4 linked regions of the Ovis aries genome follow. The protein of the gene in region 1 interacts with the protein of each later gene in a biochemical or structural test. Links are inferred from orthologs where the notes say so. Each region holds a gene or a part of one and is shown in the gene's direction. Other genes may lie near its edges.

What was found.
Region 2: the proteins of TEK (region 1) and ANGPT1 form a complex in vitro, tested with the Homo sapiens proteins (6 studies listed by BioGRID and IntAct, with this or other methods). The link is inferred for Ovis aries from reciprocal best matches to the Homo sapiens genes TEK and ANGPT1.
Region 3: the proteins of TEK (region 1) and ANGPT4 form a complex in vitro, tested with the Homo sapiens proteins (2 studies listed by BioGRID and IntAct). The link is inferred for Ovis aries from reciprocal best matches to the Homo sapiens genes TEK and ANGPT4.
Region 4: the proteins of TEK (region 1) and ANGPT2 form a complex in vitro, tested with the Homo sapiens proteins (7 studies listed by BioGRID and IntAct, with this or other methods). The link is inferred for Ovis aries from reciprocal best matches to the Homo sapiens genes TEK and ANGPT2.

Annotation. Positions count from the first base shown.
Region 1 is NC_056055.1:95,909,467-95,913,052, forward strand, and holds part of TEK (angiopoietin-1 receptor), read left to right. Parts: intron 1-2,590; coding exon 2,591-2,878; intron 2,879-3,586. UniProt on the Homo sapiens protein: Tyrosine-protein kinase that acts as a cell-surface receptor for ANGPT1, ANGPT2 and ANGPT4 and regulates angiogenesis, endothelial cell survival, proliferation, migration, adhesion and cell spreading, reorganization of the actin cytoskeleton, but also maintenance of vascular quiescence.
Region 2 is NC_056062.1:69,923,950-69,928,225, forward strand, and holds the start of ANGPT1 (angiopoietin-1), read left to right. Parts: upstream 1-1,465; 5' UTR 1,466-1,985; coding exon 1,986-2,282; intron 2,283-4,276. UniProt on the Homo sapiens protein: Binds and activates TEK/TIE2 receptor by inducing its dimerization and tyrosine phosphorylation.
Region 3 is NC_056066.1:59,852,815-59,856,890, forward strand, and holds the start of ANGPT4 (angiopoietin-4), read left to right. Parts: upstream 1-1,261; 5' UTR 1,262-1,410; coding exon 1,411-1,719; intron 1,720-4,076. UniProt on the Homo sapiens protein: Binds to TEK/TIE2, modulating ANGPT1 signaling. Can induce tyrosine phosphorylation of TEK/TIE2. Promotes endothelial cell survival, migration and angiogenesis.
Region 4 is NC_056079.1:5,662,391-5,665,890, reverse strand, and holds part of ANGPT2 (angiopoietin-2), read left to right. Parts: intron 1-977; coding exon 978-1,079; intron 1,080-1,842; coding exon 1,843-2,009; intron 2,010-3,500. UniProt on the Homo sapiens protein: Binds to TEK/TIE2, competing for the ANGPT1 binding site, and modulating ANGPT1 signaling. Can induce tyrosine phosphorylation of TEK/TIE2 in the absence of ANGPT1.

The DNA of each region.
Region 1 (3,586 bases):
CCCACCAGGTAGTAACACCAAAAATAACACTGGCGGGGACTTCCCTGGCAGTCCAATGCTTAAGACTTTGCCTTCCAGTGCAGGGGGGTACGTGTTCTATCTCTGGTCAGGGAGGTAAGATCCCACTTGCCTTGCAGTCAAGAAACCAAAACATAAAACAGAAGCAAGATTGCAACAAATTCAATAAAGACTTTAAAAATGGCCCACATTAAAAAAAAAAATCTTAAAAAAGAAAATAACCCTGGAAACAATATGACTTAGAGGATAAAAGGAACCTCCATGACTGTGATGCAAGAGGCCCCTGAAATGCCATCAGGTTGCTGCTACAAAGCAAATGGTAGCTTATTCTCTCCTAGGCCAGTGCTGATGAATCAAAAGGGGAAGGGCATAATCTGACTCAGATGGAAAGTATTTATGGAACAGAACATAAAACACTTAACAGATCCACAGTGTGCTGTCTTCAGCGCTCAGAATATGTTCCAGCCAGGATGTATTCAGAGGTCTCTTGGAATATTTCAAAGTAGTTCTCAGGGGTGGGTGGGAAGGGAATTCTTGAAGGTTCATCTTTTCCCATCATTTGAATTTTGCTGATGTTTGTTTTTAAATTCATTTGGCAGTTGCACTATTTATAAGTGTATTGACTGAGGGCAAAGGCCGGGAAGGCCAGGAGGGGAGGGGACAGGACACACTCTGAACACACGGCAGAAAGAGGGCAGGTAGGGAGGGGTGAAGGGTAAGCCATGCTCTCAAAGGGAGGGGAAAGAGGAAATGACCATTTATGGGGCTGCTCTTCTGTACAAGGCACAGGCTCAGAAGGTTTCCAGGTTTGCTGTACACCATCAGCCCTCTTTCCGTCTGTTGTGTCGTTATAAGCCTGCCTACTCATTCCAGGTGGCTTATTTTGGAACTTTAGAGAAGAGCAAAAGGAGGTGACATCACCTCTTGCAATTTGCAAAGGTTATGGAGAAAAGACCAACGAGACCTGTAGCGTAGTGCCAAGCAGGTGGCATACCTGATTGCTGGTTCTCCCTCGTCTATGGGTGGTCAAAGCTGTTAGTGAGAGACCCTCTCCTGAGGAGTGGAAATAGACACTTCCTGTCACCTCTGACCAAGTTTCTCAGCCTTCTTACTTTATTTTTTGTTTTTACTTTTTCATTGTATTGGAGTATAGTTGACTTACAATGTTGTGTTAGTTCAGGTGTACAGCAAAGTGATTGTTATATATACATTTGTTTGTTTCCACTTCTTTATATTATTTTTATTTTTAATTATAACCCTCTAAAGAGCTTCTTAGATAGTTTTGTCCTTAAGATACCATCTCTGTTTTGTTTTAATGTCTCTTCTGCCATGAATTTTAATACCATAAATCTGTTTATATATTGTGGTCCTTCGTAAACCATTGTAATTATCTAAAATTTTCTCATACCCCGAGGACCAATTTTTGCCCCGTTAGGGGCAGTAATGTCCCCACTGAAAATGCATGAGGAGAGGATCCCTATTCTGTGTTTTGAAAATACTTTATATCTGGAGTTTAAAATATCAGTGTGCTGTTACTAGTTGAAAACTTGCAGATTCCTTCTCTGTCCATTGATACAAGATAAGATAGGAAGGAAGGGAGGGAGAAAATGTTGATGGAACCCAAACACCTTCCAAGCATTTTCATCTCCATTATCTCATTCTTCCTCTTGAATTTGGAAGGTGAGTGTTTTTATTTCATGCTACATAAATTTTCCAAAGGTCACAGAACTAAAGGGGCATGCTTCTGCCTCTTTGATTTCACAACTCACGTTGTTTCCATTCAGTTACCTCTCTGGTGACTCAGGTTCTTGCGGGTAATTATGGCCACACAGCCTGTGGTCAGAGCCAAACCTTGATGTGATCAGAGGCTGGCCCTGCCATCGCTGTGTTATCACATGTGAAATTGTCCCTGCTAAGGGGATGTAACCCTGAAATTGCTTTAAAACATTTTGCTCAAAATGGGAACAGAGACACTGAATGCTCACCTGCAACCCCACAACTTTGGCAAATCCAGTGTTTCCAATTTTTTCAGTTTCCTTCCTCTTTGTAGACATGACTTTTCCCAAGTGGAAATTAGAGTATTTCTCATGTGTTACAAGTTTTGGAGAGGCTTCTGTACTTCTCACAATAATACTTTAATCCCTTGGGTGGCTATATCAAAATTTATTAAAGCATTTCCCTACTTTGAGCACTTAGGTTTCTTATGATTGTTTGTTATAAATAATGTTGTAAGGGACATCTTCATGTCCCTAGCCTTTTTGCTTCCTTTGAGTTATTTCTTCAGGATAAATCCCTGGTAGTCAGATTATACAAAGTATATGACCATTTCTAAGGCTCTTGAAAAATATTCCCAAGTTGTCCTTCAGAGGGGTTGTATTTTGTCTTACAGTTACTCAAACTACACACTAATATTTTAAAGCTTTGCTATTTTGGTAGGGGGAAAAAGTATTTCATGACTGCTAGTGGCTGTTTCTTTGCTAGCTTGTATATTATTCTAGAAGCCAAGGTTGTCCTTGGGGGCTGTTGTTAGCTTCACTTCATATAAAACAATGATCCTTCTGGTTTCTCCTAGGTCTTCCTCCTCCAAGAGGTCTCAGTCTCCTTCCAAAAAGTCAGACCACTCTAAATTTGACCTGGCAACCAATATTCCCAAGCTCAGAAGATGACTTTTATGTTGAAGTCGAGAGGAGATCTGTGCAAATGAATAGTGATCAGCAGAATATTAAAGTGCCAGGCAACTTGACTTCAGTGCTGCTTAACAACTTACACCCCAGGGAGCAGTACATAGTCCGAGCCAGAGTCAACACCAAGGCCCAGGGGGAATGGAGTGAAGATCTCATCGCTTGGACGCTTAGCGACAGTAAGTAACTTACGCTGCCCCAGGCTTGCCTGAATGATGCTTGGTGGCCGCCAATTAGATTAAGCTCCCATCACTTCAAGTCTGCTTCTTAGAAACCATGACAGGTAGTTAGTTGTAAGTAGAGGCCAATGAGTGCCCTCTCCCCAACACCTCAAATCATTTTAGTGACCCGCAATATTTATGAATGCTCCATATGTTTGGACTAACAATAATTCAGGCAGACCTGTCCTGCGATTTACCTTTCCTGTATTTAAAAGAGTTTGTTTATTTTCGGTTCTCCGGGGTCTTCGTGGCTGTGCACAGGCTTTGTCTAGACTCACTGAGCAGGGGCTACCCTCTAGTTGCAGGGTGTGAGCTTCTCATTGTGATGGCTTCTCTTGTTGCAGAGCAAGGTCTCTCAGGGCTCGCCGGCTTCAGCGGTTGCGGCATGTGGACAGTAGTTGTGGCACACAGGCCTAGTTGCTCCACGGCATGTGGCATCTTCCCAGACCAGGGATTGAACCCATGTCCCCTGCATTGGCATGAGGATTCTTAACCTTTGGACCACTAGGGATCCCTACCTTTCCTTTCAGTGGAGTTATTTACTAAGCAGATGGTGATTCATTACAGATAGATCTCTCCTAATCTTAAAAGACAAGGAACTTTGCTTGAAAATCTGCAAAACAGATAATCCTTAGCATTACGGTATATATTTGAGAGTAATAAAAC
Region 2 (4,276 bases), on another chromosome or scaffold:
TGTGACTTGTGACTGATTAGCCTTACTTTGATTCAGTTTTCCTATTGATAAAAATAGAGTCAAAGGTAATATTCCTGACTGAGGTTTGTTGGGATAGTTAAATAAGATTGTGTGTATAGTAAGTTCTTAGCAAGTGTCATTCTTATTATGGCATATGAGTAACATAGCCAACAAGGAGACAGGGCAATATCAGGAAGAGGCCGCAAAGGCGGTTCAAAGACTCTTGCTATGTTTGGTATTACTCGCTCCTGTATCTGTCAGTTCAGAAATTTGTTATTTTGTGTGGAAAGGACTGATAAATCTTGGCACAGTTTCCCCCCAAGTAAATCACATTATTTCTGAAATTTGTTTTGCACTCTCCTTTAGCTTCTTTCCACACATCAGTCTCTAACCCGTACCACTTTTCATCTACTGCCTTCTGCCTCCATTCCAGGACATGAGAGTCAACATCTGTGGCTTCTGTTTTCACACCATGATTGCAGTTGGGAAACTCCATTCCCCATAATCCCTCCCAGTTCTTGGTGAAAGCCTCTGCTTATAATTCATGTTTTCCACACAGAGCTAGTAAAGATCTCAGTGCTATAAAATTAATTCTGTAATTATCACCTGTTCTTTATGTTCAAATGTTTGTTCAAATGTTTACACCATACATTTAAGAAATCATCTTCTGATACTTTTTATTCGTACTTAATAGAAGCAGAGATTTCTCCCATACAGCTCTATGCTGTCTCGTTAACACACCTGATCTGTTTGTTCTCAGGTAGTTTTCCTGTGCAGCCACGGGAGAGTTTATGTAGAACTTCCGTACCAGCATTAAAGATAGCCATAGCAGTACCAAAGAGGTCCTTGTGAAATATATGATTGGGATGTACCACAGGAATTAATAATTCTCAGGCCACTGTCTTAAATGGTAACCACAGTGTTTTTGTAAGGAAGTTGCTCAATTTATGTACACAGAACACACAGGGCTGCATTCTGACTCGGGAGCCAGTTTTATTTAAAATTTATATCTCAGAAAATACTAAAATTATTCTACTTAATATGCATATGCTATATTCCTTTGAGTGACATTGTGAAATGTTTTGCTAATTTGACCCTTCCTGATAATTTCCTGAAATTCTAAGTGAATAAATGCCATCTCTAAAAATGGTTTTAATGTCTTTTTCCCCAGAGTAAAGAATTATTTTTTAAAAAAAGTAATAATTGTACAGATTCATCATCCACTATAAAAAATAATTTTCTTGGAAACTGTGCCAGTTTTCTTCTTCAGGTTCCCCAATTAAGTAAAACTTTAAAGACATACTTCTAGTTTGCTGGATTTTAGTAGGTCAGCATACACACCAAAAGTGTATTAAGGTGGACTGCTCTATTTATTGATTTTCAGTGAATCTGCTAAAGGCTCAAGGCAATTGTCTGCGGAAGGGGCGGGAGGGCCATACACGATCGAGGTCATGCGCATCTAGCCAATGTGTAAGACGATCCAGCCGCTTCGCTTCAAGCCATCAGCAATCCTTAGCATAGGGGCACCCTCATGCATTCTTGTCAAGTCATCTTGTGAAAGGCTGCCTGCTTCCAGCTTGGCTTGGATGTGCAACCTTAATAAAACTCACTGAGGTCTGGGAGAAAATAGCAGATCTGCAGCAGATAGGGTAGAGGAAAGGGTCTAGAATATGTACACGCAGCTGACTCAGGCAGGCTCTACGCTGAACGGTTACACCGAGAGGAAACAATAAATCTCAGCTACTATGCAATAAATATCTCAAGTTTTTAACTAAGGAAACTATCATTACGGTGAAATTAAAAAAAAATACGATTTTAGAACAAAGCTAAAAATGGCTAGTTTTCTGTGATTCTTCTACAAAACTTTCTTTGAAAGGGAAAAGTCAAACAAACAAGCAGTTTTACCTGAAATAAAGAACTAGTTTAAAGGTCAGAAGAAAGGAGCGAGTTTTGCGAGAGGCACGGAGAGAGTGCCGGCAAGTACAATGACAGTTTTCCTTTCCTTTGCTTTCCTCGCTGCTATTCTGACTCACATAGGGTGCAGCAACCAGCGCCGAAGTCCAGAAAACGGTGGGAGAAGATATTACCGGATTCAACATGGGCAATGTGCCTACACTTTCATTCTTCCAGAACACGACGGTAACTGTCGTGAGAGTACGACAGACCAGTACAACACAAACGCTCTGCAGAGAGATGCTCCACACGTGGAACAGGATTTCTCTTCCCAGAAACTTCAACATCTGGAGCATGTGATGGAAAATTATACTCAGTGGCTGCAAAAAGTAAGTGAACGCTTTCAGTTTCTAATTGCACGGAGCCTTTTCTGTTCTACCGCTGCAACTAACTTAAGAGTTCCTTAGGGGGCCATTTGTGTGTTTACCTTTTGCTCCAGGGGGGCAGTGTTTGCAAATGCAAGACGGCTCTCTCCCTATGACTTAAAGGGGTGAGCCAAGATTTTGTAGTCTTGTGCCTCTGAAAGTATGGTGGCACCCCATTTGTGTGCCTAACACTGGCACATTTTGTGACATTTTTGGTTTTCTCTTATTTAAAATTCAGCTTGAGTTTTTCTGACTGTCAAAGCCCAGCTTAAAAAAAAAAAAAACCAAACGTGTATGTCTTGAGTAAGTTGGTGAAAAAATTAAATAATAACAACAGTACTATTAGGATCAAATAAATTTTACACCCTGAAATTTTGTGCAGCTAGGACAGAAAGTCATCACCAGATACTTATTTTTCAACCTCTAGTAAAGTTAATATAAAATGTGGATAAATACAAAGTATGATATTTGATTGAAGAAATTGAATAAGTATGTAAAGGAAACAGTTTCAGCAAGTAGTAGAATAGTAAAAGACTGATTTCTGTCATATATTTCTTCTGTCCTTGAGAAAAAAATCAGGAAAATATATTTGAATGTGAACTCATCAGGAAGAGGTTGTTTGCCCACTGTGAAAAGACATGCACCTGCAGATTTGGGCTGAACACGACATGTAGATTTTGCTATGTCCCTAAAGTGCCTCTTTCCTCAAGACATTATAGTCACACACAGTGCAATGTGGGGATCCAGATAAATGTTAATGTTGAGTATGCATTTAATTCCAATTTATAAAAATCAAGCATCATATTTAGTTATTTCTCTATAAACCATTTTAAAGTTTTTGTTGAAAATATGCCAGTGAAAAATAACACACTTTCTGCAATTCCTTCCCTCTTTGCTCTGTGTTTAATTGTGTAACAAGTAAGCAGCAGATAACAAGTGTGTTCAAATGTGTCGCTGGAAGGGTGACAATGTCAGTGTCCCACTTGTGGAAAGCTTCTCCCCCAGGGATCTTTGCTAAAAATTCACTTGATGTGTAGGGTAGGAACACAGGCAGTCTAGTCTTCTTTATGTTAGTCTGTTAACAGAACAAACCCTTTAAGAAGATAAAAGATAGGGAAAGGACAAATGCTCTTTTTTGTTTCTGTGTGGTCACACTCACTTAGATCACCTCCTGCTGAATCATGCCAAGTAATAGTTATTTTACTTTTGTCCACTAGGGACTGAACTAAGATCACTGTTATTTTATTTGACAAGTTAACTAAACCTTAGTAGTTTTATTCCAACCTTGGAATTTTAGTTGATCTTCCTATTGTAGGTTACAGGTGAAAAAAATACATTGATAGGCAAAATAATAGAAAACAAACAATTCTGAAGTCTTTTGATAACATGGCTTAAATTTCAGGCACTAATTAAATGTAGCTTAAATTTCAGGCACTAATTACAGCAGCAGTTTATAATAGGATTTTTTTTTCCTTTCACAAAACTTATTTCCATCATGAACAAATGAATTTGGTTGAATAGCTTATTACTATTCTCAATATACTGTTCATATAGTTTTAAATGAGAATTTAACCATTATAAATTAGTCTGGAGTCATTGAGGAAGGTGGAGAGGGAAATTTAGTTCCAAATTGTCTTCAGTGAGTTATTCTACCAAAAATGTAATATTTTGTTTGCTTAAAATATACAATCCAAATGATGATTTAAGCATGAAAATACATATTTTTATTGTTGTTGTGCAGTTATTTAACAGTAACAGGATAAAGACATGATTCTACTGGGTTTAAATCATGCACATGCTTCATATGTTAATATTTGAAATACATTTGATTTTTGTTTGTATTATTTTTGGTCAAGATGATGGCATACTTTTCAGATTATAGCCAAGCATAACTATGAACATGTTTTTTGGTGAAATTGACCCTTGCTAGCATGAATCAAGCAGAATGTATGCTGACA
Region 3 (4,076 bases), on another chromosome or scaffold:
ATTGGCCCTCTTGGGCTTTATATTCCAGCAGGTTGGAGAAGGAGCGATGCATAGTAACTATGGCACTGACAACAACCAAAACACCTACTGTGCGCTCGCCTTGTGCCAGCACTGCTTTGACTTATAATTTTCACACCCTGTGAAGTGGATAGTTTTAATACTATTTCTCAGTTCACCAAGAGGAAACAGAAGCACAGAAAGGTTAAGAGACTTGCCCAAACTCACATAGCTGATGAGTGGTGGAGCCTGGATTTGAATCAGTAAACAGGTAAACAAGTAAGTCAAAAATTCCTCTGTCCCCATGCTGAGAACTCATATACATTCCTCATGCACGAGATGAGGTTTCCGCCTCAGGGTATGGAGGTTGAGAGAGGTGAAGCTGCCCGCACGAGGTCTCAGGGTCAGTGGTTGGGGAGTAGGATTTAGAGCCCACAGTGCCTTAGCAGCAGCAGCAGCAGTAGCCTCTAACTTGGGGGTTGGTCAAGACACTGCTGTACCTCAGGCTCTCCTCCCCGAAATCTACTTGCCCATTCCAGCCAAAGGCAGCTCCAGCACTATCTGTCTCAAGACAAGAACATGCTCTCATTACTATCACAGCACCGGAGCCCCTCCAGGCCCCAAGGGAGAAGAGGATGGGAGCCTGGCTGGGGCACCCACTTCCCTGGCCTTGCAAGGATTTTCTCTGTCTCTAGAAACAGATTGAACTGGCTGCCTCCTCTCCAGCCTCACCCTTCTGCCCCCCTCCCCGTTGCTCTGTCTAAGGTCACTCTGCTGTGTTCCAAGGCTAACACGAAATCAGAAGGGGTAGGTGGAGGGGGAGAAGGCGAAGGCGCTGGGGGCTGAAATTTGAGATCTCAGCCTTGCGAGGAGAGGTTGGAGAGAGAGAGACATGGAAAGACAGAGACAGAACGAGAATTCAGTTGCCTTTGGTTTTCCGAAGCGGGCAGCTTGCGGGTTTGGGGTATGTGTGTGTGTGTGTGTGTGTGTGAGTGTGTGTGTGTCTTGTTTTCTTTCCTCCCCTCTGGCAGGGGGCCAGGCCTCCACTGGATCATAAAAGGACTCAGAGGCGAGGCAGGCAGAGCAAGCCAGTGGAGGGACATAGCAGCAGTGTGTGGACACGCGCGCGAGGAGGCAGGAAGGGAAAGAGGGAAGAGCAGAGGTGAGGGCGTGTCTGGGGGCGGGAGTGTAAGGCGGTGGGAGGAAGCGGAGCAGCTGTGGTATTTGGAACAATTATAAATAGCCGCCTGGACAGAGCTTGGCCAAACAGGGCTTTGCAGCTGCGGCGTCTGTGCAGGCAAGCCTGGCCACTGTTGGCCAGCGGTGGGTGCCAACAGGGCACGGAGATAGGTGGTGGACAGGCCCAGCCCCAGGGCTCTGACTCGACACCCCTCACCATCACCACATCTCTGGATGCCCTCCCCTCCAGCCATGCTGCTGGGTGGCCTCCTTCTCATTGTGGCCTCTACAACCGTGGCCCAGCGGAGGGGGCAGGAGGCTACCGGGCGCCGCCGGGCCCACCGAGTCCAGCACGGCCAATGCAGCTACACCTTCGTGCTGCCAGAGCCTGAGCCCTGCCCACCCGAGCCTGAGGCCTTCGGGGCCTCTAACAGTCTCCAGAGGGACTCCCCGGCGGCCGCACTGAACCTAGGAGACTGGCCGAGCCAGCGGATGCGACAGCTGGAAAAAATGCTGGAGAACAACACGCAGTGGCTGCAGAAGGTAAGGGCTGGGTCTGCAGCGGGGTGAGGGCAGCGAACAGCAGGTGGAGCATCTACCCCAGAGCCCTGCCCTGGACACAGATGGCCAGGCTAATGGGGCCCTTGTCTCTGGATTGTACATATTGGAATGATGAGGCCCAGAGAGGGGCAGAGATGAGTCTGAGGCCACACAGCAAGACTGGGAGAAGACAGAACTGGGAACTAACTCCCCAGCTGCCACTCATTCATCCAGTGTGGACCAGTCCCGTCCATAAGCAGAAGAGTACATCCCCTTCTGGACCAGTATAGGAAAGAGACAATAAAGGGATGAGCAAGATGTACTCTGTCGGAGGTAAAGCAAAGTGAGAAAGAAAAAGGCAAGGAGTGACCAGAGGTGGCGATCTGAAGTCAGATAATCAGAGAGGATTTCTCAGAGGAGGTGACATTTGAGACCAGAGAATGAGCGAAGTGATGGAGCAACCTGGGAAGGTTTCTAGGGGGAGGCTATTTCCAGCCAAGGGACCAGCAAGTGCAGAGGCTGTGTGGCGGGAAGGTAGCTGGGGTACCTGGGGAACAGCAGCATGGCTGGAGCAGAGGAGGGCAATAGAGGGTTGAGGGACAAAATCCAAGAGGTGAGGGGAGGGCAGACCATGTTGGGCCTTGAGGGCCGCGGGAAGGACTTTGGCTCTTCCTCTGAGTTTCACAGGAGCCATTGCAGGGTTTTGAGCAGATGAGACACACCTGAGTTAGTTTTAACAGAATAGGGACTATAAGGGACAGATTTAATGCTGGGAGCCCAAGGAAGAGACCAGGCAAGAAGTGATGGAGGCATGACCAGATACAGGACAGCAGGAGGGGGTGTGGCCAGTCAGATTCTGGTATATTCTGAAGGGGAAGTTAATGGGCTCTGCTGATGAACTGGATATGGGGTGGCAGAGATGAGGGGGCTGAGGGCCCCATTGTCATTTTGGCCCAATGCTGGGGCCACTCTAGGATCCCCTGTCCTCATTCTTTCAGCAGATATTCTGAGCATCTACTGTGTGCCAGGCTCTAGGCAAGAAACTGAGGTGAACAAAGCAGGTTCAGCCCTGGGTGGGGTGAGGAAAGCATCCTATGATGTCCAAGATGGGGAGCAGTCCCTCTTTATCCCATGGTTCAAATTGTTCAAATTGTTTGCCTGGTGAGCAAACAATGTGTCGCTCCCCCGGTACATGCATATTTATTTAGTATTTGTGCACCTTATTAATATAATATTTACTAGGTATGACACAAATGAAAACTTTAAGAAGATAACATGAAATCACGTAAATTAGAGTTCCGGTGGCTTCCTCCTGTTTTCTAAAGGATGGCCTTCTGCATACCCTGGGTTGACCATCTCCCAGGTAGAGAGTTACACTTATCTAACCAAGCTGATTTGTGCACATACTCGAATACACACTTAAACTGTTTCGTTCCTGCCCTGACCATCTATCCCCTCAGCCTCCTATTCACCATCTTCTCATAGTCGCTGCCTACTTGCCCCTCTTACCTTGCAACACTTACAGCTGCCACCATCCCATGCTTAGGTCCCCCCTCAAGGGAGCTCTTGGCCTCATACACTGGATCCCAGAGGGCTCCATGCTGCCTTGAAATCTGTGTGTCTTCAGGCAGCTGTTTCCCGTCCTGTAAGGGTCATGCCAAGCCTCGTCTCCTCCTCAGCCTCCATTTTCACTTTGTGCCCATCCTCTCACCAGACCATGGATCTCCTACTTCAAAGAGACATGGGGCCTACCTATGCACCCACCAGCCCCCAGGGCCTTTCTCTGGCTCAGAGGAAGGGTTCCTCCATGGACCAGAGTCACTCTTTCACACCTGTGGGTCACATCCCCTGCAATCCCTGAACCTCCTCAAACCAACCATGCCTCTTGTGTCTCTACCAACTCCTCCCTTTAGGCTGTTCCTTCCCCTCAATCTTTAATTGCATTTCCCATGTTAAAGAAAGAAAGAGGAATCGGAGAAGGAGGAGGAGAGAGAACAAGACCCTTCTCCAGCCCACACCTTCTGACTCTGGCCTGGCTCTCAGAAGTCTGCACGCTCTGCCCCCACTTCCTCCTTCATCCCATCCTTTCCCGAAGCAGCCTCCCACTTCCCATTTCCTAATCCAGAGGCCACGGCTCAGTCTTCATCTCACTTGACCTCTTGGCAAATTTAGTATCACTAACCAATATCATCCTTCCAGAAACGGTCTCCATCAGCCAGTCCTCATCTACCACTCTGACTGCTGTCCCTACCTCCATCCTGGACCAGCCACCTCCAACTCCTATTGGATGGTCATCACAAAGGATGTCCCAGGCTCCATTTCTACCCAGACCCCAATAGTCCATTCTGTATTCAGCAGAC
Region 4 (3,500 bases), on another chromosome or scaffold:
ATTATCCCCAAAGACCATGGAGGACAACAAAGAAAGAATACTTTTCATTGGTTTTGAACCTTAACTTTCATATTTACTACCTTGGAGGCTGTAGGGAAATTAATCTTAACTTTTTGGAAAACGTCTTCGTTCTACTGTAATCTCATTATTTAAAACTATTTGTGTAATCTTATTTTCAGGGGTTTTTAATTTCATAATAAAATTCCAGCTGAGGTGAAATTAAGCATGGATGCTCTTAGATCAAGAAGGAATCCCATGTCCTAAGCAAAGTTTAAACCCACCAAGCCCATTTAAAAGCAGAAATCAAAAGAGTAGGGAAGTGAAACAAAAGGGGCCGTGAGCAAGGTAGAGAGAAGCATGAGGTCGGGGTCTGTAGGCGGAACCGCCAGGCCCCGCTCGGTTCACACACAAAGCCTCCAGTCCCTCCTTCTGACGGGTGAACCATGGAACCTGACTTTGATCCCACACTCAGAGGAAGCCTAACAGCTCCACGGCATCACAGCAGTCTTAGAAGCTCTGCGATCCAAGAGTCTCCCTTTTACACAACTCTCTGGAGAGGTGATTGGGACTGGCAGCCACCATAAAGGTTTTCAGGGATGTGGACACAAAGCAATAGATCTCTGCAGGCTGGAGATGAGAGATTTGGAGCCAATCAGCCAACGTGTCCCATTCCAGAAAACCTCTAAGGAACAGAGATCTCTGGGTCAGCTGTCGGGGTGGGGCTCTAGCCTAGAACAGATGATGACAAGGTCCTATTTTCATCCACACGTCGTGTTATGTTACTGTTTACTTTTCATCATCATTTTAAATTCATGGTTTTCAATTTCCTTAAAATCCTTTGCCTCTTGGAAGACCACAGAGATTTACCCCAGAGAACCCCATCAGCTCTGGCCGTATTCTAAGTATCTCTGTTCATCTCGTTTCTGTTATGTAAGTCCGGACGTTTCCCAGGCAGTAACTGTGCGTTCCCGTTGCAGGCTTACTGTGACATGCAAACGGCTGGAGGTGGGTGGACGGTTATTCAGCGACGTGAAGATGGCAGTGTTGATTTTCAGAGGACTTGGAAAGAATATAAAGTGGTATGGACATTCTTTAAACCATCTGAAAACAATTTTCCTTGTGGAAACTAACTTTGACAATGTGCAGGACTACCACCACAAATCTAAAACTAACCAATGATTTTTGACCATTTTTTTTGTTTTGAAACCAAAAAGATCTTTCTAACTGGTGTTTCTGCCACCACGTTAAAGAATGGTCCAGTCGATGTAATGTAAATGAAACATCAAAACAAAGGCATGGGAAAGCTAGTGGGCTCAGCATTTCTAGGGGTAGACTACTTCACAGCATTTCACACCTCTACAAACTAAGGTGTTTATAGTGATGCTTCTTTTTTAAGATTTTTTTTGATGTGGACCATTTTTTTAAGTCTTTATTGGATTTGTTACAATACTGATTCTGTTTTATGTTTTGGCTTTTGGCCACCAGGCATGCAGGATCTGAACTCCCCAACCAGGGACTGAGCCCAGACCCCTTGCATTGGAAACTGAAGCCTCAAACACTGGACCAGCAGGGAGGTCCCTATGACAATGTTTCTACTGGGGGTTCTCCAAGTTGTTCTAATTATTCCAATACCAATCTCCTTCTGGTAACAGCTTAGCTTCTTAACAATGATTTTTTAAAAACCTTATATGGAAGGCCCCAACGTTTCACAGCACAGGAAGGAATTTCTGCTGAATGTTTGATGCTTGTTCTATGTTAAGTTGATGGACTACTGATTTCAAATATGTGAAGGGGGAAAAGAAAAATAGGTGAAGTAAGCGACCTTTTCAACTTGAATTTCAGGGATTCGGGAACCCTTCGGGTGAACACTGGCTGGGAAATGAGTTTGTTTCACAAGTGACTGGTCAGAAACGCTACGTGCTGAAAATACACCTGAGAGACTGGGAAGGGAACGAGGCGTACTCGCTGTATGACCACTTCCATCTCTCGAGTGAAGAGCTCAACTACAGGTGAGGAAACTACACGCCACTGAAGCGAGTTAAAAGACCTGCTGAAGTCAGAAGCCCACTGTATTAACCAGAATCTGAATGACTCACAGGCTACCTTAATGGGGAAAAGCAGCTTGTCTCTCAGTTCTTTGCTGCCCTCAGCCAAGTGTCTCTAGTTTTAGCAGTCTAACGATACAAGGGGAGCTTTATGAGACAGAATCATGCCTGTTGTGTCTGCTCTGTACCCTCAGAGCACAGATGAACCCTGCCTGGCAGGTAATTATTTGCAGAATAAATGCATGTTGTGTCCTTATTATAAGATATCATGCCAATAACACAGCAGATGTATGTGTGTGTGAGTTGCTCAGTTGTGTCCAACTGACCCCACGGGCTGTAGCCCACCAGGCTCCTCTATCCATGGAATTCTCTAGGCCAGGATACCAGAATGAGTAGCCATTTCCTTCTCCAGGAGATCTTCCCAATCCAGGAACTGAACTCGGGTCTCCTGCATTTGGCAGGCAGAGTCTTTACTGTCTGAGCCACAGGGAAGCCTAGCAGATGCATGAGTATGCTGTTTCCCTCTAGAAGGTTTTAAAAGTTAAATCTATCTTTGTGAAGTTCAACCACATTCAGTTGTTGCGTTCCGCTCCACGCTCAAGAGAGGCATGACTAGCTAGGTGGTTGGGCAGCTGGGTCCTCTCCCCTGGGCTGCAGGAAGACGGGCTGGTTTGCAGCTTGGCCTCAGTATTTGCGTCCTCCCACCTGCTTGGCGGAGCTAATCTCAAATGTTCCAAGAAAAGCACGCACAGTTCTGAATGGGAACTGGCTCTCTGGCGCTAGAGTGGCCTGAGAGTGGAGGCAGAGCAAAGGGGCCCTGCACCCTGCTGTGCGAGGCCAGGGCAGTGCAGGGGTCGGGGCGTCTCGCTGTCACGCAGGGGCTCAGGACGCCTGTTGCTGGTGGGGCTCAGGGGGACGGGGTGCCTGCAGGTGACCCAGGAACCTGTCTGGGAAGATACAACACAAGGGGTCAGGTGCCAGCACATCCTGACGGGGTCTAGAAGGCACCGGCTGGGGAAGAACGGGGGGAGGCGTGGCTCCGGTGGCCGCAGGGCACACGTGAGACACCTGCTCTGCTGTCAGGCAAGAGAAGGTCCACAGCAGCATCACAGGAGACAGACGTCAGCTGGCCTGCAGTCCTGGCTGAACTCCACCGACGCCCAGTACAGAGCCTCTGCTCGATGAAAGTTCCAAGGCCTCAGTAGTTTGGGGGTGGCGGGGGGGAACCTGCGATTTTTAAAGTCCTTGAGCTGGCTTCTCGGGGAGGCCGCAATGGATAGCTCGAGAAAAAACGGGCTGAAAGCCGGCCTGCTGACAGCTACCTGAGATGTGCACAACGTCCAGTGTCCTGCTGAACAGTGGGCCAAAATTCAGAAGCATTTCTGAAGGCATGATTTCTGACAAGCTTTGACACGACTTCTAAGAAGTCAGCCACTGGCTCTCATCACACACAGA